Linked DNA regions of Styela clava. The protein of the gene in region 1 interacts with the protein of each later gene in a pairwise test. Links are inferred from orthologs where the notes say so. Each region holds a gene or a part of one and is shown in the gene's direction. Other genes may lie near its edges.

The links.
Region 2: the proteins of uncharacterized protein LOC120328573 (region 1) and bone morphogenetic protein 2-like interact in binary tests that used the Drosophila melanogaster proteins (3 or more experiments, as listed by UniProt). The link is inferred for Styela clava from reciprocal best matches to the Drosophila melanogaster genes Col4a1 and dpp.

What each region holds. Positions count from the first base shown.
Region 1 is NC_135256.1:6,034,281-6,052,068, reverse strand, and holds the start of uncharacterized protein LOC120328573, read left to right. Parts: upstream 1-9,580; 5' UTR 9,581-9,814; coding exon 9,815-9,828; intron 9,829-15,751; coding exon 15,752-15,800; intron 15,801-17,788. UniProt on the Drosophila melanogaster protein: Collagen type IV is specific for basement membranes.
Region 2 is NC_135253.1:23,765,575-23,782,494, forward strand, and holds the start of bone morphogenetic protein 2-like, read left to right. Parts: upstream 1-9,980; 5' UTR 9,981-10,114; coding exon 10,115-10,475; intron 10,476-16,920. UniProt on the Drosophila melanogaster protein: Required during oogenesis for eggshell patterning and dorsal/ventral patterning of the embryo.

The sequences.
Region 1 (17,788 bases):
CTGCACCGTATTTCTTGCCTTGCAACACCTTCTTGAACTCTAAAATATACAGGAAGTGAAGTCGAATTTTTATAGTATGGTTTTATTTAGTTCAAGGGATAAATTTATGACTTGAGCAAACTTTTGGAAACGACTTTTGACCTTTTTAACTTATAAAATGATCATATTGATAGATTCGATCTTCCTGCAGAAAATACAATCTCCCGACAACACTCACAACTTCAATCATAACGAATGAATGATTCAGTCAGACTTGATTGCAATTTTTACTTTACAAAATTACTTTTTTTCAAACATTTTACATGGAAAATTTGATTTCCAGCTAATATTTGTTTATCAAAGTTCTGACGATTCGATTAAATTCCTATTCACAAGAGCCTGATATTTGCCAAAGCAATTGTACAAGATATCATAAAATGACACGATGTCATATAAAGTGCTCTCAATAATTAAAATACGTATCGATATAGTGGCAATTTCACTGGCTGTGTGAAAAATTCGAATCGATTTCTATATAATTTTATTGATAGTTTGCGCATTTGCATTGCTGTTAAAAAGAATTAAAAGATTTAAATTTCCTCTAGTAATAAAATCGTTCATAATCGCAATTTCTAATGCTTTATAATAAAGCCTAGTTGGCAAATTTACTCATCTTTTATAGTATTATGAATAGATGGTTTCTTCTTTATTACGCCGCACCTATAATATTTGCTTGTGGTCTTTGGTTGCCGCAGAGATTCCAAAAATCTTGTCGCAACGCAAACAAACCCCTGATCAAAGTATGAAGACGTATCATATGTTGTAAAGTTTCAACTTTTCATTGTATGAGCAGATTTTCGGCGCTATATTGTTCGAAAAAGTCCGCCTCCATGTAACGTGAGTTTCTGTGAAGACCTTATTCTATCGAATACTTTCACCTCAGACACACACCTATATCGTTAAATGACATTGGTGTGGATAGTGTTTAAATTTGTAGTTTTTTGTATTTCCATTTTCTCAAAGTTTTTTATCGTTTTTGATTGGCTTTGAACTCGAACCTATCAACACACTTTGAGTTAAAAACATGTCTCCAGTTTCTGGGATGCTCTGATTAAATATTTGATCGACGCAAAATCACTCCTCTTCAATTCAATTCTTTCGTAATGATGTCAGCATTATATGCATATAATAACTTCAACTGAATAGAATGGTACTCCCGAAGTATGTGAACCAAGATGGCGGACGCCGAAACGTAGTATGTAAATCAGGTTAGGATTAGGCCATAATTTCAGGTACAAATACTACGGGAGTCACTTGGCTAGTCCCCGAACTCGTAATAGAACTAAAATAAGGAAAATTGGAATGGAATTATGGCCTAACCCACATACTACGTTCCGGTGTCCACCATCTTGATTCACATACTTCGGGAGTACCATAGAATGAATACAATACACATTGCCGCCTATAAATGCCAACACATTTCAATTGCATTTCACTTTTACGCTTCTCAGAATTAAACTAAACTAAACACAAATATTTTTTAATTTTATAGTAAAGGAGTTTAAGATGTATTATTATGCGAATACTCCGGCCCACGCATGGCATATGAATGAATTTGAGCTAATTTTCCACGGGCCATGCCTGGTTATAGGTGATAATAATGAAACAAACAGCAGACCACCAAAGAAGAGCTCAAAGTAGACTCAAGCACCAAATAAAAACAAAAACGAACGTAGAAGATTAACGAAGCGAAATCAAAATGTGAGATTGCACAAGCGAAGTTATTGATCAAGTTATTATTATTTATTTTATATATGGGATCAGCTTCAGGAGAGAAGGATTTGAGGGCGCTCCAGAATTGTATGTACCAATATGAAGGTAACTAAGTTTGTTCGCCTACTTTACATAAAGTTGTGTAAAGGGATTAAAACCTATGGGCAGGTATATTCACTTGGCTAACACAGACAGTCCCCGTCCTCGTAATAGAACTTAAATATTCTCAGTTCAATCGGAAAGCTTGAGGAAAATCGAAATAAAATTATGGCCGAATCCTAACCTGGTACACACACTACGGGAGTACCGATTTGAATGTAAAATAGATTCGCAATATCACTCATTGGTCCTGTTATTGCTCCCACACAGATTTCCTGATTTGTTTTCTTTAATCGTTTTCATTTTGGGTCAGTTTAGATACGTTTGGAGATGGGACAATACTCTTAGCGAACTAATCAAATTTATCCTAACTTTAGTTAACGTAAAAAGAATAAACAAAATTGCTGGTGGGGTAATAACATTCATTCTAATTTATTGTTGTTGTGAATCAGACGTTATTTTTAAAACACTAAATTTTTACTTTCGGAGATAAAACTCGTGTTCGTGCTTTTTATAAACTTTTTCAAATTTCCATTCACCAAATTGCTATAAACACAATATAGACAGGCAAACAAATAAACTCTTAACTGGTTATCAAAGCAAGCAACTTTACTCTTAGGAATAATCCATGGATCGTGTTACAATATCAATGAAAATAATCCAAGACATGCGAGACTGATTTCCTTTTAAGCTGAAAAACGACACGTGGAATCCTTATTCAAATAAGTTTATTCGATAGCAAACAAAATGTAAAATTACTGCTATAATTGCGTAATTCACATTTCATTGCATTGCCATTGGTGAAATGTATATTGGGATTTATAGGGCTTACATCAAGAGTGTCGCATGCATGGCGATGGTGTCGCATGCAAGTCCATGCCTTCGAAAACAAACTAAAATGCTGACTAATCCCATAACCGACATGGACTGGTAACCGGGCAAGAGGCCGTGGTTCGCCATATGAATAATCCGTCTTATCGGCTTTCCTCTCCCCCGGGATAAATATGTAAATCATATCCTATTTTATGGCAATTACAACATATATCAGCTATAACAAGGTTAGTTGTGTTGCCTTTTTTGATATCTGTATTACAGAGATATTGTACCAAGATGTGCAGATCAAGTTAAACGAAATGATTTTGATAAACATGTGAGAACAAATACTAATTCGGAATCCATTCCTTTCGTTTCTCCATGTTCTTTTCAGAAGAAAAGAAAGCTCACCTCTGAGTCAAATTAGGACGACCAATAATGAGTTGCCAAGAGCTAAATAAAACTATATAAATTGATAGTGATGCACAATACATGCCAGCAAATGCCCGAGCGCTAAACACAAGAACATCTTTTATAAACATTGAAATTCTAGTGGTGACGTGTAAACAGCAGTGTCTAATGTTCATCACTGCTCATTTATTCACTTACAACCCAGCATGATTTTGATTCATTTGATCATTGCAGCCTCATCACGTGTATTTAATCTTAAATACTGAAATATTTTCTATTCATGTTCGGCTGATTATCGATTGGTTAAATCGAATCGCATCCCGAATATGATTTGAATCCTGTATAAAGTAACGAACCTTCCTAAAACCAGAAATAATTTACTGCCCATGAATTTAATTGAATTGACAGTAATAACTAAATCGGGCCAATAATTTACAAAATTAAAAAATACAGGGTGTCTGAAACATTTCGCCCGTATTTATAGTAATAAAAATAAAAAATTTGCCCGATTTTCTATTAATAACAATTGTAAGTTTAAATAAATTTAATTGTATGATAAATAAGAACTACAAGCACGTTAAGAACTAGTAATGAACAAAAACAAAAACTTTTCTTTTTTTATTACTATAAAATCGGGCGAATATTTTTGGACACCAAGTATATAAATACTCTATAGCAGTTGTTGTCAAACGGTAACGGTTGACGCGACCCACAAGGGAGGCATAGACAATTTTTTTGAGGGGACGTGAAGATTATCATTTGGAATATTTACGCCCCAAGTTAGTTTTAGAACCACTGCTCTATTAGTCTATACTATACAGTTAATATTATTAGTAAACTCCTTTCTACTTTCTTTACAATTAGACCTCCACGTCGACTTTACAAAGTGTGTTATCATTTCTGAATCAATTTATCATTGTAAACGTCCAGACCAGGCAATACTTCAGAGTAAAATGCTTGGGTTCGTTGATTCGTTGTCAATTACTGGATTACTGGAATCACTAGATAGATGACTCTGTCTAAGTTGTAAAGAAATAAATACAAAAAAAATACATTTTTTAAAATTGCAAAGACAATTTATCGAAACCATATATTGAAGTAAAAATACTTAAACAATTACTGATTAAAAAACAACCACCCTGGTTAAGATATATTGAGAACTGACTTCATAACAAAATTGAAATTGTAAAGGAACTTTATAAACTTTTAGTAAATCAGATTTTCTGGATAAATAGAAGCTAAAGAGAATATTGATGAATCAACGTAATATACGTCTGTACAATACTCAAAGTTAATGAGAACATCGAAATTCAAAGTGAATTCGTATATCCTAAGTGATTCAAGAGTCTTGCTGCGTACTAACATAAATATATTTCTGTAACGTTTCGTCTGACCAAGGTCAGACTTCTTCAGACATACATGAGTCTGACCTTGGTCAGACGAAACTTTACAGAGATATATTTGTGTTAGTGTGCAGCAAAACTCTTGAATCACTTAGGATTGTTATCTTTACCCTTGCTACAGCATCCTTGCATTATATGCATATACGGATCCACCGACACAAAAGCATAAAAGAAGGATAAGTAGTTAGTCTCGCAGAAACCAAATCATACGGGCATTAGTAAGTGTATTTTGTAAGAGAAATCATTCACATAGATCGCTATGGATATAGATGAATTACTATTTTATATAGGCGGATCGAATAATCACAAAACGAAATTCTCGCTTATTTTTTGCACTATATATAGTAGAAGTAGCAAATGTTAGGAATGTCCAACTCATTACTGAGAAGATGAATGGGACTATAACCGCCACCCACACTGTTTGTGCAAAATCCATCACATCCAATATGTCTAGACTTTCGATCATCCGCAAGATTGGTTGATTTTGGAGCCAATTATGAGCTTACTATTATCACTATATAGTATAATTGAATTAAATTAATATTCCCTAACTGGGTATACGCGTCGTAGATGGAAAATGCTGTGATTCGTGACCCCTTGACCCGAGGAACTGAACTCTTCTGCGGACGTGAAACTCTTTTTCGGACAAATTTTAATTAGAAAGTCCTAGATTTCAAAGATACTTTTTAGACTTTGTTTTGGGGTGAGGAAAGCCGATACGATGTATTACTCATAAGAAAGGACCCTGCACGACATCTCACCCGGTTGCCAGATCTGATATAAAAATAGTACATTAATTAATTAACTATCACAAATGCATGAGATTATGAGGGTTGGTTAAACGACAAATTTTGATCATATTCGCTGCTTGCGTGTCCGTAGGTGATTATACTAAGCCTTTTTCAAAGCAAGTACATATGATATTCGGTATTCCTGGAAATTTTCAGCGAATTTTTATTTGGAGTTTTGGAAAGTTTAGAGTTTAAAATTCCCTTATCAACGGCACCCTAATTTTTAATTGCCAATTTCATGGTTTGTCGAAGTTATCACATTCAGGAAATGAGCATTTAAGATACCAAAATTAGAGCGACAAATTCGGACGAAGTTTCACTCATAATGTTTAATTATGAACTTCCGGTTTCTTGTCCTGAATTTTGACCTTAAAAATTTGAACTATTTTCTCTGAAGTTCTTCAGTATAGATAAAAAATGCATTTCTTGATTTCTATAATTACTACAGGATGATTTTGAAATGCAAATGTTTGGAATGCTAAGCCACAAATACTTGAAAATTCGGTACTCCCGTAGATGTGTACCGGGTTATGGTTAGGCTATAATTTTATTCCGATATACCAATTGAATATCCTCCTGCCCGTAGATTTTAGTTCCTTTACACAACTTGATGTAAAATAGGCGAACAAAATTAGTTATCTCCATATTGGTACACACACTTCTGGAGCGCCGAAAAGGCAATACAAGCGTATTGAAGCAATCCACAAATTAAGATAAACCGAGGTGACCGGTAAACAGGGAAGCAATGTGAATGAATATTCATTAAGATTTTAAGTTGAATTCATTTGAAGTTGAAACGTTCCAGATTCTAATTTATTTCGACGGTTAACCCGTATATACTTGCTTCTGGGTAGAAAGTGGAAAAGGCAATCCAAAATAACAAAACGCCATTCAAACACTTATTCAGATTCGTGTCAACACATTGCCGCATTCGCAAGATAAACTTGCAAACCAACAAACGAACACTTGTAAGATTAATTTCACATTGATGTGTTGAAGTTTACCATCAAACGTTTGCACATGGCTACAAATAAACGTAAAGTAGAGTTGAATTTCAAGGTGACTCCACCCTCAAATATTACCACCACTTCATGAGATGCACCTCAATCTCAGCCCATTGTAAAACGACGAAAGTTATAGCCTTCTAGCGAAAAATTTAATCGTTAAGCACTGAAAATTTTAAAGCCATTGGTCCAGTAATCAAAGAGAAAAGCGATTTTTTTCTGTGACAAAGAATAAGCACATAATAACAAAACGATCCATAGGTCGACCACGTGTCCAATAAACGCCACAACATTGCCGCAATCAGCATTCGCAAGATAAATTTGCAAACCAACAAACGAACACTTGTAAGACTAATTTCACATTGGTGTGCTGAAGTTTACTATCAAACGTTTGCATATGGCTACAAATAAACGTAAAGTTAAGTTGAATTTCACGGTAACTCTATCCTCAAATATTTACCGTCACTTCAAGAGATGTTCAAATGCTGCCCATTGTGAAACGGAAAAAATGCAGATATTCTTGGCACAATTACTGAATTGTTTATATAACACTCGACTCTTATCAGCTTGAAATCTTTAGGAATATTTGTTCGTGTTCTTGAGCAAACCTCATAATCTTATCCTCATACAATATCGGAAGTATCAGTGGAAATTTAATTACAAACAAGCGGTCGAGAAAAATACAGAAAGGTTTATTTTTAGGTTTTGATTTATAAATATATTAAACACTATTGCGTATTTTGTGGTAATTTAAAACTGTTTGCAACAAACCCATCCTATGTAAACCATCCTGGAGGATTAGAAATACCTCGTGGTTGCATGGGTAAATACGTGGCAGTATACAAACTTGATATGTATCAGTCTTTTTTGTGCGTTTTACCAGTGAACCATTCGGCATCACAAACGAAGATGAGTATTGTCTTGACCGCCTAATCAACACTAACACCTATCACAAAAAAAACGATGCAACAACATATTGAGAAACAGAAAAAATTTTGAAGATTTTTATCGTGAATACGAACACGGACGTTTTAACATCTCTGAATCAGAACACTCACCTTTAAGTTCAACCCAACGAGTGCAAATGAGAGCAGATTATTTGTCACACTTTTATTCCGTCAAGCGTATTTCTCAGCAAAACCGTATTACGCTCTCATCACAATAACGAGCACCTGAAGTGTTTTTGATCAGTCTCAATTTCGCCCAGACCAACGTCAAGAGCAGAAAAGAAAATATTGACCGAAATATATTTGTCTTATATTTCGGAAAACAAACATTGATTTATGGAACTTCCTAAATTGATTTCTTCGATATTCCAAATTAAGTCGTAACCCTAACCTGGTACACATACTACGTTCCGGTGTCCGCCATCTTGGTTCACATACTGCGGGAGCGCCGTGATGTGTAATTAAAAAAAACTAAATCGAAAGCAGTCAACCTCATGCTCTCATATCTCTAGAATTCAAATAAGTTTTTTATTGCGTGAAAGATGGACAACGGGAGTACCAGAAATGTCCAAGGAGTCACATTTCATCAATCTTGCCGCTTACATTGTGCGTAAAACTATATATTTCATCAGATTCGGATAGGATATTGTAATCAAAAACATATGTTAGTAGAACGTCACAGTCGCAAAATTATCAAGCAAAAAATGTATTAAGGCTTATCTATCAATTAAGCTAATCCCGGAAAGTTATAACTATCTGGGGCTGCAACGGAAGATTCCAGCCATCAGTCATCTGAAATACAATAGATCAACATGCACTCAAAATCGATACGAGCGTTAAAAGGCGGATTTTTTTATTTAGGTATTTTAACTAGTGTCGAATATTCAAAGAAAATATTGATATTGATAGAATTCAACTATGCTGTAACAATATATTCAGTTTGGTTGCTTAGGCCGCAAACGTAAGGTACAAAGTACACAAATCGTTTGTGGAATATTAATAAAATTATAATACTGGGAGGAGTCGTTTTGTGAGAATACTTTTTACGTTGTTTCACGATTTGTAAGCAGGTGAATTCTTCTGGAACCAACCCGACCCGGAACCAAAAACACATGACTGAGTCTTATTCGAAAACTTGATGTATATCTAGATATTTATTAGTATATGCCAAGGCTTTAGATTGCGATAGATTCGTTGATGAAAATTTTCAACTATCAAACCATCCAGCAATTCGCTTAAAATTGACGGTTTGATTCAAATCTCCTTAAATGTTTCATGTTTTATCCCATATTAACGTAACCACATTTTAGAATGCCAAATGCTTTTCATATTTCACAAGCACTGAAATACATAATTTAGACTCCTCAGCGGGTTTATTTTGACATTAAGTTTATTTTGATTTTATACCAGCATAAATTAGATGCGATACAATGCGAAGTATGATTTAATATTACTCTAGAAAAATTGTCTATGAAATGATTACAAGTAAATCATCGGACATTGTTTTGAGGTTCAATGGGGCTTAAAAAATCAAATTGAATGAATTTGCGCTGGCTCAATATATAATATAGCCTCTGTAGATTATTTAAGATAATATTTCAAATTCATATCCCGTGCCAAATATTTCGTCATTTACATCCAAATCAATCAACTATTTGTATATATACGATAGCCTAGAATCTAGGTACTGTGAAATGATAATATTATACGCGTTTTGTTAAAAGCATTTTACAAAGAATCTTGTGGGTGTTTGTTATTCTAACCAAATACACCAATAGACGAAATGTACATTAGGGTAGGCCGCTTAAAATTTACTTAGCCTATATTAAACTTCGCCAAATTGTGAAATTTAACCTATCCTGTGCGTGCCACACCTTGCTCGTTCAAATTTACGCTCATTGTGTTTCTTTGTGTTTTATCCCACTCTTTTCGTTTCTTCACACACTTTTCTCTCACTTTCTTATTTCTCTCTTTTTCATTTGGACGACCGTCACTCTTTTCCGTTTCCTTTCGGCACAAGTTAGTTCTCCAAGTAATTAAAGAAATAGGCCATCTCCGAGTCTTTGTTTATTTATTATTTTTCCAACCGAGCCGCAGGCAAGTGACGAAAAAAAGAGACGGCGGCGGACGATCCGCTCGCTCGATACCGAATCCCGTAGGTTGCTAGCAAGAATGGAAAATTTCAGTGCTTTTTTATTTATTTTAGATAGGCGTAAGTGTTAAACTCTGTCGCTTAGATATGTGTTCAGTCGTAGCCACCAAAATTCCAGAATTTTAGACCAAAATTTAACAATTTTTAGGCGAAAATGTGTACGGTTTTACGAGGAATATCCTAATAATTATATAATATCTTTTTTAGCGATAGTTTTAGTCGGCGCCAATAGCACCAACTCGCCGTTCCAAGGAGCTCTAGATCCGGCGAACGTGCGCGCTGTGCTTCGATGCTCAATAGAGGAAAGCTCGAAGCAAATTACAGCCAATAACTTCCTGAATAGGCCAGTTATATAAAGCTAATGAATTAGAGAAATTTCACAAAGTTTAAGAAGCAAGAAATCTTCGGAAATTGGCCCGGAACGGCCTAACCGGAAGCCAACATGCGGAAATCAATGTAAGTACCATTATGAGATGAATTTTAAACGTTTCATCAATTTTCGATCTTTTTCTTGAAGCTAGTTTTATTTGTACATCCAGTAATGTTCGAGTTGATTCAATGATATAATTTGTAAAGTAATTCTATGTAGAGTTCTGGTCGAATTTAAGCCACGCAAATGCCTGAAAGCGCAAACTTCTGAGCCAATTTTTAAAAATGTTAATTTCTGTTCAAGTAAAATGGAGTCAAATTTCTTTAATTTTACCGTGCTATGAAATAGCTGAAACAATTCATAATCTAGTGAACGAACGACATATTTCACAACACGAATATAACGTATATATGTTCATATATTTTGAACAGTTTTGACGGTACTCCCGCAGTGAGTACCAGGCTACGCCATAATTTTATTCCGATTTTAGTTCTATTACGAGTTCGGGGACTGTTTGTGTTAGCCAAGTGAATATACCCCCTGCTCATAGGTTTCCGTCCCTTTATACGATTTGATGTAAAGTAGACGAACAAAATTTGTTACCTCCATATTGGTACACACACTTCTGAAGCGTCGTTTTTAGAATATTTTGGTTAGTTTGTAATGTATTTACTTGTTTCATTTTGAAACGAAGTTAATTTGGATACGTGTTTTGAAGTGTCAATTGCAACATGTCATTCAAATTTAAGCAGTAAGCAAGATCGGTGTACATTAGTACAGCACCCCAATACATGTTCAATATTTGGCATTTGAATACCTTATTAGTCTTTGTGTAAGAACATATATGGAGGAAAATTTATTTTGACAAAATGTGAAAACATGTGGTTGCTAGGTTTGAAAAGATACAGTATGTAGCAGCCTAGAAATTTTTTCTCCACAATTAAGGCTCTACATAGGTAGCCAATTTTATGCGAGAATGAATCGGTATTCTAATTGCTATTATGGAACATTCTAATGCAAAGAATAGCTATAACAATGAAAATAAGAAGGATGAGATTCAGAATATGTAAAGTAATACAAACTGAAAAACTTCAATGTAACAGAAGCCAAGTTTTCATTGGAGATTCAATATATTGATGCTAGTTAAAAATTACATTTCTGTACTGTTTTGCGAGAGAAAACCATGATGTGATCATCAGGCTTCGTAATTTGATGTGATTTCCATTTGAGCATTAATTCTTTATGACGTAATAAAGCTCACAAGTCGCAATAGTCAAGTGTCGAGTTGACAAATGCATGATGTTAAATACATGCAGTTGGAATAGGGGTGCAAGCAGTATACAAATTGAATAAAATATTGGGATATCCACAAATTATATATAGAAAGAGATTTTGTGGGCGCAAACAAACGTTCGCTGAATAGAAATTGGGGGGCTCCAGAAGTATGCGAGCCAAGATGGCCGACATCGGAATGTAATATGTGTACTAGGTTAGGGTTAGGCCATAATTTTAGCTATAAATACTACGGGAAGCTCTTGGCTAGTCTTCGAACTGATAATAAGACTAAAAGTAAGGAAAATTGGAAAAAAATTATCGCCTAACCCTAACCTATGTTACGTTCCGATGTCCGCCATCTTGGTTCGCTTACTTCGGGAGCACCGAAATTGGCATAATCACAATATTGTGCATGTCCAACAAATCCAAATGTATCAGAAGCTTTCAGAAGTTGCTTGGTACTGTATAGTTACTAAGTTTATTTCGAAATCTTTAGTGCCAAAGCATAAACTTGAATGATTACCTAATTCAAAACATCACGTGAATAAAACGATAACAAAATTGTAATTCTTATCATAATTAACTCAAATTATTTAAGCCAGAGCTGTGTCATATTTAAGACAAAATCCATGGTTTACACTTATTTATAAACAGACATATTCGCTGTTGAACGATACTATACGTTTTTGTGGGTTTTTCAAAGCTTAATATAAATTTATATAAGTTTTATCAAAAATTTGGGGTGAATTAAAAAACGGTAAATCCGATGAATACCTTTGATTAGTTCAATATATACATGCGATTTAGCAAAACGGGTACTCCCGCGATATGTATACCATGCAGGTTAGGGTTACGCCATAATTTTATTCCGATTTTCCTTATTTTAGTCCTATTACGAATTCGGGGATTGTCTGTGTTAGCAGTGAATATCCCCCCTGCTCATAGGTTTCAGTCCATTTGCACAATTTGATGTAATATAGGCGAACAAAATTAGTTACCTCCATAGTGGTACACACACTTTTGGAGCGCGGCAAAACATATACATATATGTCAGTACTGGTTTATTGAATACTTTGCCAACTATTTTGCAGAAGAAAGCGTTGGTTTTCTAATTTTTTCTGAGTCAGTCCATTACTATACTACAATACTACAAAATAATACATGTTTAATTATCAAATGTAATATGTAACCAGAATATTGGATTAGTAATATTACAATCATGTCTAAAATTGAAATGCTACAATTGAATATGTAGATTTATTATTCATTTTTTTGTGACTAATGTGAATAATTAGTTGAATGAAAGAAGTATTATAGGGTTTGAGATGAGAAGTAGTTTTTTCTAATGAAGTTATCGACATATGAAAAATAAATGGTAATACGTGTACCAAGTTAGGGTTATGCTTTGATTTAGTTCGATCACGAGTTCGGAGACTGTCTGTGTTAGCCAAGTGAATATACACCCTGCCATAGGTTTCAGTCCCTTTACACAACTTGATGTGAAGTAGGCGAACAAAATTAGTTACCTTCATATTGGTACACACACTTCTGGAGCGCCAAATAAATAAATCAAATTGGATCGGTTTTACGAATATAACTCACATAGGAAACCTACGATAAATTTTGAGTTTTCACTACATTTATTGTCCTAAATTATCAATTCTTTTTTTACGATAGACCTCTTTGTGATCATTTTTATGAATATGAATTATAATTTTATAACGTTATTAAATACAATCAACCGTACAGAGAATCGTGCAATGATTTTGGCGTTTTTATCCATTCATTAGCTCGTGTTCACGTTCCAATTCGAGAATGTATACATGAATTTACTATCGCGGGAAACAGTGTGCACCTTTTCGATTCAGTGCTGCATTGGGTCTATCTAAAAACGTTCTCTTTGTAAGTGTTCAAAAACGATAACTGGGAGTAAAAATGTACTGAATGTTACCGACTTCAAATTCAGTGGTAAAATTCCGGGCGCTCCAGAAGTGTGTGTACCAATATGGAGGTCACTAATTTTGTTCATCTACTTCACATCAAGTCGTGTAAATGGACTGAAACCTATGGGCAGGAGGTATATTCACTTGGCTAAAACTGACAGTCCTCGAACTCGTGATAGAACTAAAACAATAAGGTAAATCGGAATAAAATTATGGCCTAAACATAACCTGGTACACAACTACGGGAATACCAAATTGCACGTATCATGCAAATAGCATATAACATTGCATATGAATTGCGTAAATTGTGATCGAATGGGCTACATCTAAAAATAGATCAAAAACCAAAATTTGTGTTAGTTCACGCTATTCAATACATCATTGGCGTTTAAATGATGAATCAATTTTTGAATTTGCTTTTGGTGAAAGACGTCGACCATAGTTTACGGCTCCCGTTTATCCTTTGTTACACAATAATTATTTTTCCGCTATCTGGGTAACGCTTCATTGCACATCGCTAGTTAGAAGTGTAGATGGATATACGTTTCAAACTGCGTCTTATTAGTGCATATTATGTGTGCTCAGAAGTTTGAATAGAGTTTTGAATCTTACAAATGAGCTTATCAAATATCAATTTTTAGATATAATGAAAATTGTCTGCAATTTTCGAATCTATATTCGGTGAGTTTATAACAAACCGGTATTGTCGCATTGGAAATGTATGCAATTTAAAATCATTTTAAACGCCTGACAAGAACGACTCGTTTCAAATCATTGAGAACTCTCACGAACGATGACATTTCCAAATTTCGTACAAACAAATTTAACCATTGACCCGTAGTTGAAGTAGTAAGTTAAGGTGAAGCCTATTTCCATGTTGTTATTTGACATTAAATAAGATGAAGGGACTTCAAAAGAGGAAACAGTAATTGAGGAAATTGGTCCGGGTCAAAGGGTGATTGATAAGATGGACGTGACTTTGGAAAATTGACCAGTTTTCGATAAATGAATATAAAAGGCATCCCCCGAAATTAAGCCCTAGTGTTATTTTTCGAAAGAATATTGAAATAAGACCCTGTTCTATTTTCGGGGAAACACGGTATATGATTCCATAATATTCAATGAATTACTTTATTCCGTTTGACTTGGCAGAGTATAATAATAACCAGTATTTTCCTTAATCATAGAATGTTTATAAACATGGTTTCAGCGTCGTATATGTTTACATTACTGAGGTTTTCCTTGTAGCTTTCCAACAAGCGTGCGGGAGGTTTCACACTTATCATAGAAATATTCACAAATGTGGTCAATTTCGAACTGTGAAATATTTCCAAACCATTGCCGATGCGTTTACGTTGCATAATTTCGCGACATTATCTCAGGCATTTTTTCAAATATTTAAATCCTTGAAAGCTACATTAGATTGGATGACGCGATTCATTATCACCTCCCACTGTGACAATGGCCGAATGTCATTTTTAGTGCAGTGAGCACAGAAGTAATATAACTAATGGGATTAAAATTTGGCAAATGCATAAATGAGTCGTAGTGTAAAAACTTGCCGTCTACACTGAAGCCCAATAGTCATATGCGGAAGAGACTATCGAAATGAAGACTGGGGTCCATAGAACTTCATATGTTCATCCTTTTTTTTACTGTTACCAAAAATTTGTATTACCAATACCTTTTATGACGTCATAAATGAGATTGTCCACAGTCGATTTTGTCGTACTGTGACTATTGGTAGAGTTACTTATTACTTGAGTCAGTTATGTTAAGCAAACAGTCTACTTTTTCTGATACATTCCCCGTCTTAGATTCTTGAACGCTCTTCGATCGTACACTTAGCGTCGCATATTCGTGTAACCGGCGTAGCTTGCTTGGAGTATAAACATTTTACCGGCATATCAGTCAAATAAATTGTGCGTAGAAAGCGGGAAGAATCGATTAAAGTTGCTTATAAGGGAAGCCTATTTGATGGAGCAGAGCCGATGTTTTATTAGTTGCAAAGGCTAAGCTCCTCGATCAAACTATTAAGGGGCTTAAATTTAAGTTATCCATCACGCCGTTTGGTTGCCGCAGTCTGACTTGTTATTGTGTCATCATATAGCCGAAACAGGGATCATATATATTGCGTCATAACAGAATAGTCCATACGACGAACAATTTGCTCACCGTGTGCTTTATTCAATTACAATTTTGTTCTCCTCTGCTGCAATCTTACTGCGCCTGTGTGGCCAACAGTCGTTTGTTTTGGACATGCTACTATTTTAAACTGACACAATTATACAACGTTGCAATATAAATTGGCCTATTTATTCATCGATTCTGTTGGCCAGTATATTTATCGTTTCAAAATTCCGTCGCTTCCAACTATTTGCATACACAACTGCTAAAGAAGTGAAGCCACCCCTAAATATTACATCCATCACTGGTCCAGAAAGGGGATTCAGGCAATGACAGTTGTAGGACAGATACATTGGTTCGGTTGCAACAAGGTTTAATCCTCTAAAATCTAAATCATTGCAAAATAGAATTGGCATATTCCCAATGTGTAATATACATACTTGTACATTTTTTGACGGTTAACAAAATCAAAGACAGTGCAATTACATACTATTCAATTTCCTTTTTAAAGCCTATTTTATTGACTTTTATTGGTTCAGGATATCCCGTTACTGACTGCTTTAAAAATAGGAATATTTTTCAGATCATTCGGTAAATTATTTTGCATAGTCAAACTCGTTTAAAAATTACTAAAGCATTCAAAACATTCATTGTTTTATTTCAGATTATTCATCGTAATTATCGGAATCATTTGCATACAAGAAGCCACTGCGGTGAGTGAACTACGTTTTCTCTTTCTTCAAACTAGGGCGTGATCGCCTGGCAACTTAGTCTTAATGAATGCTTTCCCGACCCTTGACCCCAGAAAACACTACCACAGTACTTCAGAAAAATTTGATGCCTATTGATTTGGCAATTTTACGCTTGGAGATGCTGCACATGTTTATAATTATAATCGTTTGATCTTTTTGATTCAAAATATCTAGCCACATCTCGTTAACAATACCGATAGCTAATTTTTAGATTAGTCTTCCGCAGTTTTTTCGGGTCTAATTATTGTTTACTGAAATAGTGTATAAACAGCAGCAAAAAGTTTGATTGTTATTGATCGGTCTTTGTTAACGTAAAAAAAGGTAATCGATGCTCTGGGAAACATTAACTGGACGAGCCTAACTTCCCAGCAAGATTGCTTGATTAAATGAAAAAACATATTTTTCTTTAAAATATTGCCAACTTTCAAACCAGTCTATGCAGTCTTGCTGCACACTATCACAAATGTATTTCTGTGACGTTTCGTCTGACTGACATAGACTTCCCCAGACAAGCAGTTTACAACAATGACAAGAAAAGAACCTCCTGTCAATTTTATTACCATAAATCGCGGGTGTCGCCAAATCCCAACCAATTCGCTCTATTCACACACGGCCTTGCAAGTTCAGAGCTGGCTAAACATCAATCTGCTAACTATTCGGTATCTATCATTAGATAGACGACTATAATAATGACTCGAGTTGATTTCATGTCCCCTATTTTTATTTGAACTGTAATCAAAGTAGTGTTAGAAGATAATTATTTGTTTTGGCTGGATCTCCAAAACCTAAAGACAAAGCAAAGATAGACGATGCCAACCGCACTACACGACTTTGCTTTTGAATCACACTTTCTGGATCGCGATCTGTAACTCCCATTAGTACCAAACAGTACAGATCAACTGTGATCTTCGAATGCCCATTAACCCATAATAGTGCCATAGAACAAGACATGATGAAAGATTTATCACTGTGAACGAATTTTTTTTTAAAAGAAATTTGAGAGAAATAGTGATGAGGCAATTAATAATTGCAGAATGAAAATAAAAAATGGAACTGTTTCCTCAAAAATAATAACAAAATATGATCAGATATAACATCCATGATAATGTAACGGTGACCGTACATTTGAACCCATGTGTATATCCGCGGGTTCAATCTATATGCGGGTGCTAAAACCCATGGGTTAGGGTTGGTATGGGTTCAAATATCCGTAAAACAAAAATTTCCATAGGTGCAATAGTATGCAGGTGCAATTGTCGTGGGTTCAAATGTACGTGGGTTCAAATGTAATGGAACCTAATGTAACATGATATGAGCAAGCACTCATGGGTGAAATGACAAAACGTAATAGGGAGAGACCATGTATAGAGGGTTTATTGCAGAGGTGGACAAGGTTTTTGGACCAGAGGCCAAAAATTTTGCCCACTGTGACTGGCGGTCCATATAAGTGTGACTTAAAAAGTTACATTTTATGAACAATATTTACAGTGTTGCAAAAATGAAGAACAATAGGCCTCCTACCAAAACAAAATTTAATCACGATCTCGACAAATTTCATGAGCTATTCTAAAAACATCAGAATTTGGTTTTAGTTTGGTGGTGGCTGCATCAGGCGAGCCAGATTGGATTGCCGTAATTTGTCCATGTCAGGTTTATAGTTACCCCATCATCAGTATACTTTTTAGGATATTTTTTGATGGATTCTCCATCGAAATTTGAGGTGGCAAAGACCATATTTTTATAAATGTTTGAAGAAGTTATATAAGTTGAAAATTCCCTTTGCAACTTTTTAACTATATTTGAAAAAAAGTACTGTATCAAAAATTATACAAGAAGCTACAGCAATAGTCACGAAGTCATAGTCAAGTTTATTTTTTTCCAAAGCTTTATGCATTCCCATTCTAGATATTCAAACTTAGGAAATCTCACCAATCTAACATATCTTTCTT
Region 2 (16,920 bases), on another chromosome or scaffold:
TTTTTCTTGTAGGATCCCCCAACCACGTTTACAAAATCCTGCAAAGATTCCTTGAATATATTTTATTTTGAAATACGCCCAATTCTTTGATTATAATACATTTAATATTTTGTTGGCTTTTTATTATTTAATATGGCATTGCCATCTTGCGTTATGAAGTTTATCTGCATGAGCAATTAAAAGGTTGCCAACTTATCGTTTGCTTCTGTACATGCTTTACAATGAATGACCCTCGTAGAAGGCGGTCAACGCGCCGACCGCCGGACATTCACCGCTAAAATGTGTGAGAAAATAGTCATATTTTGACACGCGCTTTTCATATTTGAGTGGACAATGATTGACGGGATTGATTACTTCCTATGGTAACGCCCATGTACCGGTGTCCGTAGCAAAATATGTTGTCATATTGTAGAGTGTCATGTTTCTCACGTACGAAAAGATTTACGTATTGGACAGTTGCAATGCTGAACGCGAAATATGAATCGTTCGGTCGTTGTGATTAGGGTTGTTGCTGATCATGTAATAAAAATAATATTATTTTATAACTTTTCATCTCGTAATGAAAGGCAACGCCAATGTACCTAGCGGTATCCGTAACCTAATATGGTTCGTGGTACAAAGTATCTTGTTTTTTCTATATTTAGGTGATATTCTGATTAGTATTTAAGATTAACCAGATAGAATCGATTGATATATTTTATTATTTCATGTGTGATTTTTGGGGTGAATAATTTTAATGTCCGTACGGAAATGCTATCTCGAGCTGGTTACCTATTGAAATATCTGGGTTGATAATCGGATATGCCCTGGCTGTCATATTGGCTTTTCTCTCTCTCCTGAGGTAAATGTGAAAATATTATACTTTGCTTTATAAGAATTATCATTGAACACAACGTGAATGCTATATAGGCAACATTTTTTGTAATGCTGGTGATTTAACAATATGTCGAAAAAAAATTCTGGTTGATATTATGACGAAACAACACGAAATGCGATTTTTTGATTACTCTCCGATTGCGACGCGGGTCTCAGATAATGAAGCTTGGGACCACATGTGGCCTGCGCTTGGACCCCGCTCTAGCAGGCTATTACTTTCTATTTCATTTCAAATTTCGGGGCTCCCGAAGTATGCGAACCAAGATGGCGGACATCGGAATGTAATATGTGTACTAGGTTAGGGTTAGGCCATAATTTTAGGTATAAATACTACGGGAGGCTCTTGGCTAGTCTTCGAACTGATAATAGGACTAAAATAGGGAAATTTGGAAAAAAATTATCGCCTAACCCTAACCTGTTACCCATGTTACGTTCCGATGTCCGCCATCTTGGTTCGCATACTTCGGGAGCACCCAAATTTCTTATGAGAGTCCACCAAAAATTTTGCTGCTTCATTTAAATTAACTGTAACACTTTATACGACAATGGAAACAGTTTTCCATTCCCTTCAGATCTGAATTAGAGGGTGCAACACATCGGGTAGGCGATGCCAAACTGGAAGGATATTTTCAAACTATGGTAGTTCCTTGTCTAGGAGTGGACGCACGTTCGGAGCCTTGTTCAGAGCGAAAGTGGCACAAATAGGTCGTATATAATGAAAAAGCTTTGTTCCTTGTTTTATTAGAAATTTAACAACTAATGAACCAATTAATTTCAAGTTTTCACTTCTTAATGATAGTTGTGGCGGCTGTTATTTTTTTAATTATATTCATTTTTTCAGCCCTACGGTATGGGATATTTTACCCAAAATTTCGCTGTTTAATTTAAATTCAGAGGAACCATTTTTATGACAAATGTGAATATTTTTCTTTGTCCTCTAACAGCAATTTTCAGTCCGGGATACATGGCCCCAAAAGCGGGCCACAGAGCAGTTAGAGGAGCCACAATATCAGGCGCAAAAATAACACTATAAATACCACTGAAATGATAAACAGAGGGGCAAAAGCTTCCAGAAGCGGACCACGACATAAAAAGTTGGAGCCACTGTCTTTTAACATTCGTGTTCATCTATTATAGCATTTTCGGAGCTCCAGAAGTATGTGCACTAAGATGGCGGACACTGTAACGTAGTATGTGTACCGGGTTAGGGTTAGGCCATAGTTTTATTTCAATTATCCTTATTTTAGTTCTCTCACTAGTTTGGAGACCAGCCAAGTGACACCCGTAGTATTTTACCTGAAATCATGGCGCAATCCTAACATGGTACACATACTACGTTCCGGTGTCCGCCATCTTGGTGCACATACTTCTGGAGTACCACATTTTCTCCTGTTTTATTATAAATTCGATCGCTGGGTGATTTCTCTTGAGTGCTTTCCATCGCCACTGATAACTAGCTGTCAATCAAAGTTGTGGCGATACTTGACTTCACACGGTTTAATCGTATTGAAGTATAATTGTTTACGTAGAATGAAAGACAAGAGAAAATCAAAGGCGGGAACATTTCCGCGGAAATTGATGATACGTTTTATGACATAATAATGACAGAGACAATTCCTTTGTTCGTGTGGCGGGAAAAGATTATAGACCACAAAACTACTTGGCACACTTTGGAAAATGACGTTTAATAATCGTAATGCACTGGGCTTAACCTAAAATTTTGGGTTGAAAAGTTTTAAATTATTCATTTTTTTAATAAAAATTAGGGATAAAATGAGTCACGTAATTTTCCTATGATTTAACTGATATTTAGTACCGAATATTAATTCTTATGTTTAAATATCTAATAATGTTATAACTTTTATTGTTATTTATAAAATAAAATGTTTTATAATGTTCATACTCTGAAAGACGAATACTCAGTTTTACGTAGGATTATTACTTATCGATTTTAATCGGTAAGTATGTTGATAGGTATTTGTCTGTCTGTCTGTTAGATGCACGCGATATCTCACGAAAGCGAGATTGAATCTGCTCCAGATTTTGCATGTGCATTCATCATATGTCGGTCCAGAAGCCTATTGATTTTGGATGAATTATGTCGTATAATTAGCGAGTTATTAATTAATTAGTAATTAGACACAAAGTGTCACTATGGAGTAAGAGCGCTGTTTTGGGGGATCCCCTAACTTTCAATCGATAAGTCTTCGGTCTCTGACCGATATTCTCGTTTTATTATTTGATTGCCACGGAGTATTGGACACTAATATTTTGGAAAATAGTCTTGAGTATGCGCTGTTGCATACAGCAGTGTGCAACTCGGAGTCAAGTGGAATGTTTCAAATGTCACAGTGAAATCTGTACTTGTTATCTGTTCTTTTTTAACTAGCACGTTTATCCAGCAGAAATAATATTATAGTGGAAGTTAAAAAATTATTCAAGTATGTGTCAATAACGCTAGGCAGTTGTAATAATTATTATTTGCTCAATTCAATTCGTAACAAACGGTAATTGCCCAGTAATGAGGCTTAGCATGAATTTTCAATATGATTTGATAGAAGCCCTCCACTTAAAATAAGACCTAGCAGTTGATAACGCAAATATGTTTTTAAACCTAGTCGATAGCAAGAAATGTTTTATTTATAAGTAAATGGATATCGATTTTCAGATTTTGTATATTTGAAAACCTCGTAATTCTCTACTTTGTAATTTTGTTTTTGCTGAAAATAAAAGACATCCCTCAAAAATAAGCCTTAGTGTTATTTTAAACAAAATAAAAAAAGTTGATATAAGACCCTGTCATATTTTCGGGAAAACACGGTAGCTATGTAACATAACGCGTTGTTGATATCAGCCCATAATCCCCTGTAACTCTTCCGTACCCTGCAAGACACCAAGTGTGAAAAGCCAGCAAAACAACAACATGAACTAACACCTGAGTTCCGAAATAAAATACCAAACAAATATCGAACGACAAAACATCCGGGAATTAAGATTGATGGCTGAACTAGATGCTTTTGGACAGGACAAATGCGAAATGTTATAACAAAAAATATACGCAGAACACAACCGCTGATGCTCTAAAATTTAGGGGTGTGCAGCCTTTAATACAGGCGGGCTAGATACAAAAAAATGGGCAAATCCGCGGGCCTCATCTCTTTTTAACATAGGCTTTCTAGTAGTTGCTGGCACAAAAGTTTTAAGCCATCTGTTAAGGCATTGAAACGTCATAGGCGTCAGGTATATCTTTTGCAACGCAGAGAGTTGAAATTACTCGCGCGCACCAGATTAAATTAAATCAAAAACTCGTTTTGCCGATCGCACAATTTTTCTATATGAGCCGCATTTGGCCCGCGGGCCGCAGGTTGCACACCTCTGCTCTAAATCCTAAGATATACAATACGTACGAGTTTTTATTTCAAGCAATCACTGACACGTTAAAGCTGTACACTTTTCTGTAAGATTTGCTCAAAATAGATTTTCTAGTACTTGACTAAATATAAAATTGTGCTATAAATAGAAGTGTTATGAATAGCATAACTGGTGCGCTTGGAGCTACACAGCTTTTGCCAAAGCATGGCCGCGAATACTCGGCTATACGTGAAAGGCTATTCTTAGAACAGTCGCAATCAATCAGGATTAGATGCTTTTTATTCGTCGGTGAATGCTTGTTCGTACTGAACGTCACGAAAAATGAATTACAAAAAAAATAACAGTGAAAGACCTGTACATATATAGGTGACATATGACCTAGCCTGGAAGATTCCCATATTCCCTGGTAATTAGCTTCCCAAATTTACGTACGCATCAGTTATAATTATAATAACTGACATAATTCCATTAGTATTTCTTATATATCTATGTATGCTTCTATAGATCTTTCGTCAGTCGATCTAATCCAGCGGTTCTCAAACCTTGGAGCCAGGGCCACACACGGCCCGTGTAAAGATTACGGCCCGCGTAACGATTAAATACGGACCGCCAAACTTGGTGCCAAACGAATGTCCTTCCGCTTCTAATTTTGGACCCTGGTCAATCAACTTTGAAGCCACTGATCTATTCTATACATACCTCTACGCCGATCACCCCATCCTGTTAAATCCTGTCAGGTCACACGCAAATTGGATGCTGAGTTGTGTCCTGCCTACTAATTGGCATCGGTACAGGTGGCATTATCTGGCCTCGTGCCAGAAAGCCAACATCTGAACTTGTGATATCAAATTTTAAAGATAAGACTGTGTTTTGAGGAAAACTATTGACATTTTGAAAGAGATAAACGAAACGGTAATTGGCCACGCGCCAGATAGACGACTTTTTGAACTTTGAGGTATCGGGTTGTGGAGAAAAAAACAAAGTACAAAGAAATTGGGTCTCAGAGCCTTGTTACGCCATCTTGGCACTGTACCACAAAAATGGGTGGCGTGCGGTTCACGATTATTCGTTTCCGAGTAGGAATAAATCACGTTCGAAATGAAAGATTATAAAAAATTATACCGAACAGTTTTCTTCGAATGAGAAACAACACTACATCACTAAGAGCGTAACAAATAGGGTATACAATGTCCAGTCGGAAAGCTTTGTTACATTTTATGAACAATATTTACAGTGTTACAAAATTAAAAGTGGAAAAAAATAAGCCTCGTGCCAAAACTAAATTAAATCGAAATCTCAACCAATTTCTTGCGCTATTCTTGAAAAAAGAACATCAAAATTTGGTTTTAAATTGGTTGTGGCAAAATCAGGCTAGATTAAATTACCCAGCCGTTGTTTGCCCATGTTGAATCTAGAGCGAATGATCGGGCAGTTTTATTGTCTTTCCTCTTCTTTGGAATAAATATGGAAACCTTATTCTCCATAAAGTCACCTAAATATCGTTTTATATAATGCGAGAGTCTTGTTACTGCATCCTTGCATTTGGAGATCCACTAGTGTAAAAGCATAGTATAAGAGTAAATAATAGTATGCGGGCGAAACGTTATAGAAATAGATTGCTTCATAGTTCAGCAACTGCTAAACTACTTGGAAGCGCGTGATTTACAAAGTTCCAATTAGTCTCACTTAACTCTAATTTATAGTTAAATATCATTTGCTACAAAAATTGGCAATGTTTAAGTCAAAGGGACAGAAAAATACGATCTGACTATCAATAACATTAAATCTGTAATCTATCTTATCGCGTTACGATGCGCGCAGTCGCACACGAAAATCTTTTGTCAGGCTCACTACAGACTCGTGCGCAATCACCAATCATCCCAGCGTGTTGCTAGTACGTTCACATCGTCGTCAGAGTTTGTCTGGTACTCCTCCGCTCACAAGTTCCAGACAGCCAAATAATTTACGGAACAAAAATGTAGATTTGTTGACCAGCCGCTGGGATGTTGTTCAACAGTACGTATTGAAAGAATAATTTTCTTATGTGTACTGTATAATATCTCTAGCAAATAGCGTTCTAGACAGAAAAATGTCCGCTTAACTTTCGTACGAACTATCTTATCCGCTTTATATTTCCCGCTGTGATATTTATTGCTTTTTTTTACCTAATTATGTTTGCACTTTGTAAGTGTATTTGTATTTATAATCACGTGCAATATCATTACTGTTCATTAAGGATATATATATTGTAGTTTGACGCACATTCAATGTTATCTATTTAAGCAGGAAAGAGTACTTAAAAGTTTGATTTGAGATGAGTATTTTGAAGTACGGTAGTTGAATTGTAAATATCAGAAGTTAATTTGTGTCAGTGTGCAGCAGGACTTGTTTAGAATAGTCATCTTCTTTCTTGTTATATATGTATATTGAATTGACGAATTGTCATTTGACGAAACTTTTGTTCAGTTATTTTCGTCAGGGATACATACATGGTGTCCAAAAATTTCGTCCGATTTTATAGTAAGAACAATTCTAGGTATAAATAAATTTCATTGTATGATAAATGAGAACTACAAGCACAATAAGAACTATTAATATACAAAGCCAGAGAATTTTTAGATGCTAAAATCGGGCGAATTGCTATACACGTATATATCACCTTAGCGTATAGTTGAGAGATATCTGAAGAACGTCTGTTCAGTAACTTATACTAAGAATATATATATATATATTAAAGCTTTGTGCATGTGTTATCTGTTTAAGTAGGAAAGAGTGATCGCCTGAAGACGATAATACAAATGTAAGATAGTTGGATTACGTTTGTCTTGGTATTTCTGGCCATTCAAAACGCTCATGTGTCTTTAGAATTGTTACATTACGCGCATGCGGATCCATTATCTAAGATTTTAATAGGTCATTAGGTAGGGCGCTAATCCAATATAACTTTAAATGAACATCTTAGAGAAAAAGCAAATAATATTTGGATCTTTTCAGTGTTGGGCCTATAACAAGAAGATGCATTGTCAACTGTGACATCACTTCTATTTAACTATGTTACTTACTTCGTAATTCTGTTGTGCAAGCATTTTGATACGATGTATCAAACGGTGCCAATCTTTTGTGAATTGATTTTGATAACGCAATATTATTTCCGATTGGTCTTTGAAGATTACGAACCAATACAGAAACATCGTGGTAAATGGTTTGCTTGTTAATTTGGGATTCGCGATGATCAGGTTCGCCTGATTAGATCAAGCAATAAGTTTATTAGTATGAAAATAGTGTTGATAAGATATGATAATTTATTGATAAGCATACATTTAATAATTTGGGGACTGGGAATCTATCTCTGATGATTAAAATGCATATTGAAAAAAAAAAATGAATAGACAACTATCAAATAGATAACGGGTAAGCGATAATATACTATTGCGTGGCGTTCCGAACTAGACTTTAATCCAGTGGAATTAACGAAATTGAAAAAAAGAGACCAAAATCACGCGCAGTGAAAGTGCAGTACCTACCCCTTCTAATAAAGGGAGGTCCAAAAATAGGTTTACAATTATCAATACTTTTAATTTGGCAACATCCCGCGGTAGTGACTTTCTTGTCACAAGGTTAATCAGGACAGAGATGGAATTTTCATATTTATCGCGCGCGAGAGAAAAAAAACTGATTAGGCCAATATTATTAATTGGATTATATCATCATTATGTCAGATTTCACGTCATCCCGGTTTCCCAATTTTTATACTTTTAACACACTTTCTTCATATTTTGAGTATGTTACACTCTTATCAATGCGAAAAAACATTCATGAATAGTCGATAGAAGACAGTTTGATTAAACAATCGAAAATGTGCTTAATCGCAGCATCTAGCGGTTGAAAATATTGGCACTGAAACTGCGCGATTTATCAGTTATGTTTCAGAATCGAAGCATAATTGTCTTTATCTGTCATATTTCTTCTTCGTTTTTTCAGACATTAAGAAGTAGATTTCTTAATTATCTGGAAGGACCTAAAAGTTAGAATAAATCTAATTCTAGAAGATTAACATTTTTAAAGTAATTTTATTACTATTATTGTATCTTTCACGTTATTAAGTTCTCTAACCAAATCAAAAACTCTAGTAATGACAAATAAACGCATTAGAAACCCCTGCCAAATTCACTGTAATATGCTTTTGAAATAATTTTAGATTCCATTGTCGAATAAAAGTTAATCTAACTTGAACTTTTGGACTATAGAAAAGCGGGTTTGTTTTTTAGGGCACAGCACACAAATGTCAATCATACACAAAATACCGATCATGAACTAAAGAAACCATAATTTGACTGCTCAAATTTTTGGACTAAAAGTACGCGCGAAACAATTTTTGTTTAGAGCAAAGATGTACATATTGTTCCCTGTGCTATTATGTTGGTATTTTTCTTCCTGTTATTATGAAAAAATCGCTTTTCACAATAACTAATTGCTTTGAAAGTTTCAGTGGCGAAAGCTTGCATTTTTCGCTAGACGGCTATTACTTATAGTTATTTAAAAACTGTTAGTGGGCTTTATGTGATTCGTGTTTCACTTCGAAATTTTTCTTACAAAAACTTATCGAAACACTCAAAGACAAACTACCAATTTAAAAGAAAAGCCCATCTTCTACAATTCTTGTTCGGGGCATTGCTAGCAAATTATTCCGAATGGTCGATCTGTAAGACACCTTGAATAATAGAGAGAGATATTTGTGTGCTGCCTTTTTTCTCGTCGTATCTCGCAACTCGACAATCGGCATTGCTCCATACGGCGTTAATTTAGTTAGTCACACACTTAGCTACCGTATGTATTCCTTTCTCAATTTTTCAAATGAGCATTCAATTTGGTGTTCGCGGCCTTGGGAATATCAGAACTATAAATTGAGAAGACTCAGGAATACTTCGCCACAACATCGGCGATGGAACAGAAGAATAGACAGTTGAGTTAGAATATAGAAAAGGCTTTTGAATATCTTTCAGTAATGAAAATCATGCAGGGATATAACTATACCATAATGTGATATACCTACATCAAAGCTTATAAACTATGGAATACAATCATTAGGAGATACTGTCTGACAGTGGACATGGATTAGATACTTTAATTTTTTTCCAATAAATCTTCCATTATACAGTTCGTTTTTTGCCGCGTGGATAAAATTTGGTACTTTGAGATACACAGTTGAAGTTATACTTTGCTATTTTTATCGTTGAAATTCTTGTTAAGAGTAGTTTTCTTGTTAAACTCACAGAGAAAGGAGTATAAACGAACGAAATGATTTTAAGTGGAAGTTGAATAGATTGTACTATAGTTTTATACAGTGGTACTTTGTCTTCAACGGCAAAAAGTTTTTTTTTGAATGACTGGTAGTCGCCTAAAGGCATATTTTTTAAATTCCATTTCTTATCAAAACACTGTCCAACCTTACGTGAGAGTTTTCACCAGTTGTGCGGTGAAGGTTTTCTGATCGCTGTGTTGTTGTTTTGCTTCGCGGTTAAGAAAGTGTGGTATGATTATCTCGGTATATATTTTGAGCGTGAGGATTATATATAATATTTTTTTGATTTGAATGTTTTCAATATAAAATAACTGACTGTTCTAAACGCCATTTTGGTCGGAAATCCAATTAATATATTTTTACTTTTTTTGTAAATGTATTTTATATAATTTGTAAGAATTAGCGTTTTCGTTACACATCATTTTATATTTTTCAGATTTCTAATTATAAATGTAAAGCGAAAATATATATCTGCATATTATACTGTCCTTTCGGATCTATCAAAGTTTGAGATATTCCGAGATCTGTAAGATATTTTGGGAATACTTTACCACAAATAGAACAATGCATTTCCAAATACACCTTATTGGACTTTTTATTATAATCTCAACAACATCGGGGATGCTCCCGGAGGCTGGCCGGGCGAACTTAATCGAACAGGCGGAAGCAGACACACCCGAAGCCGAGGAAGCGATCGTCAACGAATTCGAAAAGAAACTACTAGATATGTTTGGACTTACTCGTCGCCCGACTCCCTCAGGGGACATGCCCGTTCCGCGGATTATGCAACACCTCTATAAAGCCCACATGGGGGATGATTCCGACGGCCCCCACAGCTTGGTACCCACTTGGGAACCCGGGTTCGATCTCCCCCATGACGAGATTGCGAGCCGAGTGAACACAGCAAGAAGCTTTCACCATTTAGGTAAGATTTTGAATTTTTATTCTATAGTAAAATAGTTTTATGAATTAGTGTTATATTTCATTTAATTAAATAGTTTAATTACTATCTGAATAATGCGAAGTTCAGTTAGAAAATCCGCGCTTCACGTTATTTTTAAAAACGATGTTTTTCGATCGTCGAATTTTAGAAATTTTATTTTAAGACAGATTCAGATAGTCCATGTGCCTTGAACATTAAACTGCTTCTATTTTTATACCCGACTTGGAATTGAAAGCCGACAAAAGACTGTAGTTCGACGCATTTAGTCGTCTTAACGATTCCACTCTTTCCCGGGATTACTATATTCTCATATTTATTCGTTTTTGTGACTCAAATAAGCGTAAGTGCGTTTTAGAAAATAATTGTCTTAGCCCGATTTTATAATTCATTCCACTTTTTCCAATTAATATGAACCCTTTAACCATTTACCAGTCTTACCATTCGAAGAAGTATCTTGGCGATTTAGAATTATCTGATTTAGCAGTTTTGATATATTTCATCTCGATTTTCCTAATTCGCGCTTTTTGGCCAAAATTGGGTTATTATCGGAAGTATGAAATATATATTCGTGAAATGCCGGTATTTATCAATAAAAATTTCCGCCCATAAAGCGTTTTACTGCACTATAAACCGTTTCCTTAGATATAATTTGCAAAGAGAGGATTAAATACAGTTTGTTTGCTAAAACGTTAGAGCTTTTATCGTTAGTTTGCGACAACATTTCTGTCGAGTACGTGTTCCTAACTGGCGGCAGTTAGGCGCTTGATTTCCCGCCGAAATATAAAAAATTTTCCCATTTCAAATTCCTGTCGCGGTCACGTTCCAACTCTTAAAAATGTGATACATTAATGAATACATATCAAATCTTGAGCTAAAATATCGTTTCGAAGGAGTCTGAAACTTCGGTGATCATTATTGTAAATGTTAAATCTATAAACCGCGTTATCATCACCAGCGCATAAATATTTACCATCTAAAAGTGACCAGACATTACGGCGCTTGTCCTTCGTAAAACAATAGTGAGATACCATGGTTCGTCCAACCCTTTACATACAAGAAAGTCGAACTATTCGATTTTAAATCGGTAGCAATGTTGGTGATTTGTGTAACAGGGGTTAATATAAATGTTTTAAGGTCGGTAGATAAAGTTTAATCATTTTGTCGGTTTCTGTAAAAGCCGGAAAGATAAAAAAACCTCTGGACAACTGTTCACGAAAATATCGACTTAGAAGTCTTTCCCGGAGTTAAATGAGTCCATTACTGCTAATTTTGCCTGGATAAATTGGTTTACGCGAAGTAGCTGTCTGCAAGTCGGCCGTTTCAGATGGTCCATTCATACGACGTTTTGGTCGATATATCCCTAACGTGCTGTCTACATGGGAGCATAACTACCCTCTTCGAGGGAGCTATTCGAATGTAGATTGGTACCATATATTCACTCTGTCCATACGTATTGTTAAATCGAGTAAAATATGGTTAAAGATTGTGGGCTCTATGTAATTCGTTTTTCACTTCAAAATTTTGTGTGGTGACCTCTTCAGAATTAATTAAAATTATATGTAGCGGTTTCTTTGACCTCTCTCGGCCTACTCCCGCGCTGCACAGAAGTAGGAAATGTTTTGACCGTATCCCACAGTAGACTAGGTTAGGTGCTGTATAAGAGAAAGCTCTCTTGTTGCGAATAAGCTTGGCAACAGCCACTCGCTAACACCGTACATATGTCGAGCATATGGTGCGCTTTTTCATACAATAACCATTATTGTAGCAGACACTATTCTACGGGGGAGAAGTAGATTAATTGAAAAATACAAAAATAAAATGTAGTTTTTGTACAAAACCTGATGCCATAGTGATATCATATAACGCTTTATACTGTATGGAGACGCCGCGGCATACGCCTATCACGCATATTTCGGATATGCCCGTAACCGTTAAGAATATAATAATAAATAATGGTGGGGTATACAATGTATAAGTTGTAAATCAAAATTTATATATAATGAACGTTTTGAAGCTTTATATACCAAATTATTATTTGATTTCCGCCCCATAAGGATGTTAATGTCTTGATTTAAATACACTATAAATTAGGAGAAATAAAATGGAGAATATCAAACGAGCTGTATTAGAAATAACTAGGTTTGTTTCTTTATTATATCTCTAGTCCGAGCTCGAAAAAGGTAAAATTATGAGAACGATCGGTTTCATTGATTGATCATTGTGTCGTGTGTTACATTTATGACAAAACAATGCGATTTCGACACACTTATCAACGTGTTATCTTCTAATTGTTGTGTTATGATCAAACAATTAAAAATTATAACAACCGGCTTTGTTTTATGATGTAATTATTGTTCATTAAATTACCAATTTAATTCCCTGTTGCACTCTTAATTTTTCAGTTTTTGTTCTATAAATTAGCAACAATAACATTATTAAAAAACATGTTTTTGCGCCAAAATAAAATTTCAGTCTTAAAAGCTGGGTAAGGATATTTTGCCTGACTGAAATTGAATAATAATAGTCCACATTTTTAAATAGTCATATATTAGTATTGTTTTCGCTTCGAAACGTGTTGTTATATGCGACAAAATCAGTGTATGCTAGTTAGCTGGATTATGTAAATGGCAGTATGTTTTTATTTTTCAAGAGAATTTGTTCAATGTAGAGTAACGAGCACTCACTCAGAAGCAATGGCGTATACAGGGTATGACAGCCATGGCCCATGGCCGCCGTTTGGATATGGACGCAAAAGGGCGAAATTTTTTAATCGTGAAATGCCTAAAAAAATATTTTTAAATTGGAAACTTCAATACTAACGTGTAAGACATCAATTCGGCAACAGTCGTAAAAAATGTCAGTCAACGATCAAGGGGGCGCAACTTTGCCACGCTCGTAATATTACGTAGATACGCAACTGCTCAGAAACAAATGCAACTTAGCTATGACCAAAGTTACTGCCGACGACTGAAACTATACATAACATGTTGTCACATATCACGCCATAATAGATCTTGCGTTCTTGGATGCTTCTTACTTTTGAGATTGCGGCGCTCTCGACAGTAATACAAACAACAGTTCAAGTAGCCGAGACTGCAGACTAATGTTGCTCTCGTGTTTGCAAGATAAGAAAGACAGTGTCTCATTTATAATTTTTTTTATATTTCATAACAGTCCAGGATAACCTCACTCGGTTTTCAAACAGTTAAGTGAGAATAGTAAAACACGTAGAAATAATAGCAATCGATGTAATTAATATTGTTGGCCTGCGCACTTTAAGACTGGCGATTCGAAACTGAATTTGTTAGCAAACTTTATTTGATCGTCTAAGTATCAAGTTGGGCGGACTCGAATGAAACGTGTTTAGGAACTCGATTAGTCGGTTGTATTTATTTAAATTTAAAACCAAAGTTACATCACATGCGTATGGCTGCATTTAATTGAATTATAACCAAAGTGACGTCACATTGAGTATTGTTTCATTTATTTAAAATTAAAACCAAAGTGACGTCACATTGCGTATTTGCATTACGTCATCATGCCGTATTAAGCCACGAACAAGGTAAACAATTTCCCGCTTAAATACACTTGTAGAAAAGAACACATATAACATATCTGTCGCATACCAAGAATAAAGATAAATTTGACATTTTATTACAAATTATCCGAGCTATATTTGAATTGAATGTAATATCGACGCCCTGAACTCAAGTAATTACACAATTAAAAGCAAATTGGTTCATTTTAAACTTGTTAACATAATCATATATCAGGAATATCACCTTTACATATGAATAATCCTTTAATTGGGTGAAAATGTAATATTTTTCTCTTCAAAACCTATTTTTAAATATGATTTATAAGAAATAAATTTTAAAATCGTTTTTAGAAAATCTCCCTTGTAATAAGTATCGCCCTGATTGTTACCTCAGGCGTGTTTACCGTTCATGGCAACAGATTGGTGATTTATGCGTAATTAAGGCCGAAATATCGTCGCAATTTGAATGTTTTCCCACGCACCGCTTGCCAAGATTTGCCCCTAATTAATTTAATTAACTGGGCATTGGTTGGTCATCCCTGCTGAGTTAGAATAAGGGAATTGCGTCATTGTGAATAAAAGAAGAGATGGTGTTATCTAAAATATCATTTTACATTGTCTGTTTTATTGGTATTACGTAGTAATTTTATCATATTTTTTTGTTAAATCCCCCTTTTGCATCTTTTTGGACTCTTTATACCTCCGATGCATAAAAACACTTTATTTGTTCAATCTTTAAATGGAGTTTTAAGTGGAGCTAGTGTGATGTGCAAGTAAAGTTCAAGTAGGTAATTAAAGGGTAGCCTAACCCTAACCTGGTACACATACTACGTTCCGGTATCCCCCCTCCACAAAAAAAATAATAAAAAGGCGAACTCCCTTCCTGTGGAGGAAGTAAACCCCTATGTAATATATACTTCACTGCTGTGCTTGCTCGAGTCACTGACTCGACTTGAGTTGAACGCGAGTCACTATTTATCAGTACCTTAAAGTGACTTGAAATTTGTAAAAAGTCCTCAACCCCTTGTTCGAAGAGAAGGGCTTGAAAAATTGTCGAAAGCGATTGACTGTACTGAGTATGCAAGGTCAAATTCACATTCATTCTAAATTTGAGTTCATTACATTGTAGAAAAAAACTTCTAACCGGCTCTAATTGCTACTTAGTGTAACTATCAAATTTCACAGATAATTTCGCCCTCAAACAAAGCCAAGGACACAGGAAATCCAATGTAATATAAAAATGAGAGGGATCATGATCTAGTTAATACCTTATGTTTTATACATGTAGGTAATAATTAGTCTTGACAATAGCCAGGTTCGAATAACTTGAACATGGTAATTGTTCTTTACAAAAAAAGGCAGACCACCCTTGAATGGTTTTCCCAGGCAATAAAATGTGGCAACGCATTTCCGTGTTTCACCAAAATTTTTATTTGGATGTATAATTATTCGCAATTTTAGGGATTTTAATTTAAATGACATTTTAACTAGGTGCGAATTATTTAAGGTTTTGAATATTGGCACATACCCAAAGCTATGACATCATTCTCATTCATAATACAGTAGATCCAATCGGTTGAATGTTAGAGTAGAAATAATTTATTCTTGTCTTACTTTGTTACCTTACAATATAGGAATCTTTGCGTATTCAGGGGGTATGTTGAGTGTGGACCCCCTTTTTTGAAATGTGAAAAAAGCATTTTTATGTATAATACTTATGTATAAGACTCTTGAAAACCCACGTTTTCCGACCGGACTCGCTGGCGGATACGATGTAACTTGGCAATTAGAAATGACCTCTGAAAATTCATGGCCACGACCATGTTTGCAGTCCGGGGAAAGAAAAGTCGATGAGGCAGCTCAGTTATATGGCGAACCCATGAACTATCGATCGTTCACGTCTGGTATGAATATAGTTACCCAGTTATTTGTTTCAAATGCATTAGATGTTTTCACGAAACTTGTCGTTTCTCCGACACACGCCCCAATTTTTGGCAGTCAGGAGGCCTTACGTAAAGAAGAGGTTAAGGGCAAAAGTTTTTTACCCTACAAAAATTGTAATTAGGTCATTTTTTAATTATAGCAATTACACAAAATATCTTTTTTTGGAAGCAATTGATCTAAAAATACCTAAAAGTTACTATTTAAGGACCCTGTGAAAACCGCCATTAATAAGTTCCATGGGAAAATTAACAAATTTAAATTTTCGGATATTCTGTATAATGTTACAATATCCGAAGCCGATTTAAACGATTTGGGAAACTGACACTACCGGGATCAAAGCAGAGGTTATGACCTCTGTAGACATTTGAATTTATATTTCACACAGACTATGTTTTCCGTCCAATTTTAGGAAATTTCAGTAAATTGAAAAGCATTTGTCGCCCCTTGGAGAGTTCTAAAGTGAGATTGTAACATTTATATCCAATTTAGGAAAAATCAGTAAATTGAAATGCATTTGTCGCCCTTTGAAGAGCCTTAAAGTTAAATCGTAACATTATAGGTGCAATGGCTATGTTTTCCGTCCAATTTAAGAAAATTTCGGTAAATTGAAATGCCATTGTCGCCCCTTGGAGAGTCCTAAAGTTATCTCAAATCGTTGTGTTATCAATTGCTTGTGGTTGGAGAATTAGTTTAACTATGTCGCTGGTTGAATATCTCGGGTTCCACCTCACCCAAGGTGTGATAAAATGTGTGTTTTAATTCGGAAAGATCATGATCATTTGAAGAACAGTATCTTCCTGTGTGATGGTGGCTTCTTATACAGGTCCTTATTCGGAGATATAGATTAAAAACATTCCCGCCTTATTCAGAGATACAGCGAAAAGATAGAAGCGCCTATTAAAAAATCCGAAATTTAAGAGTTTTGATAAGTTTATATTCAAATAT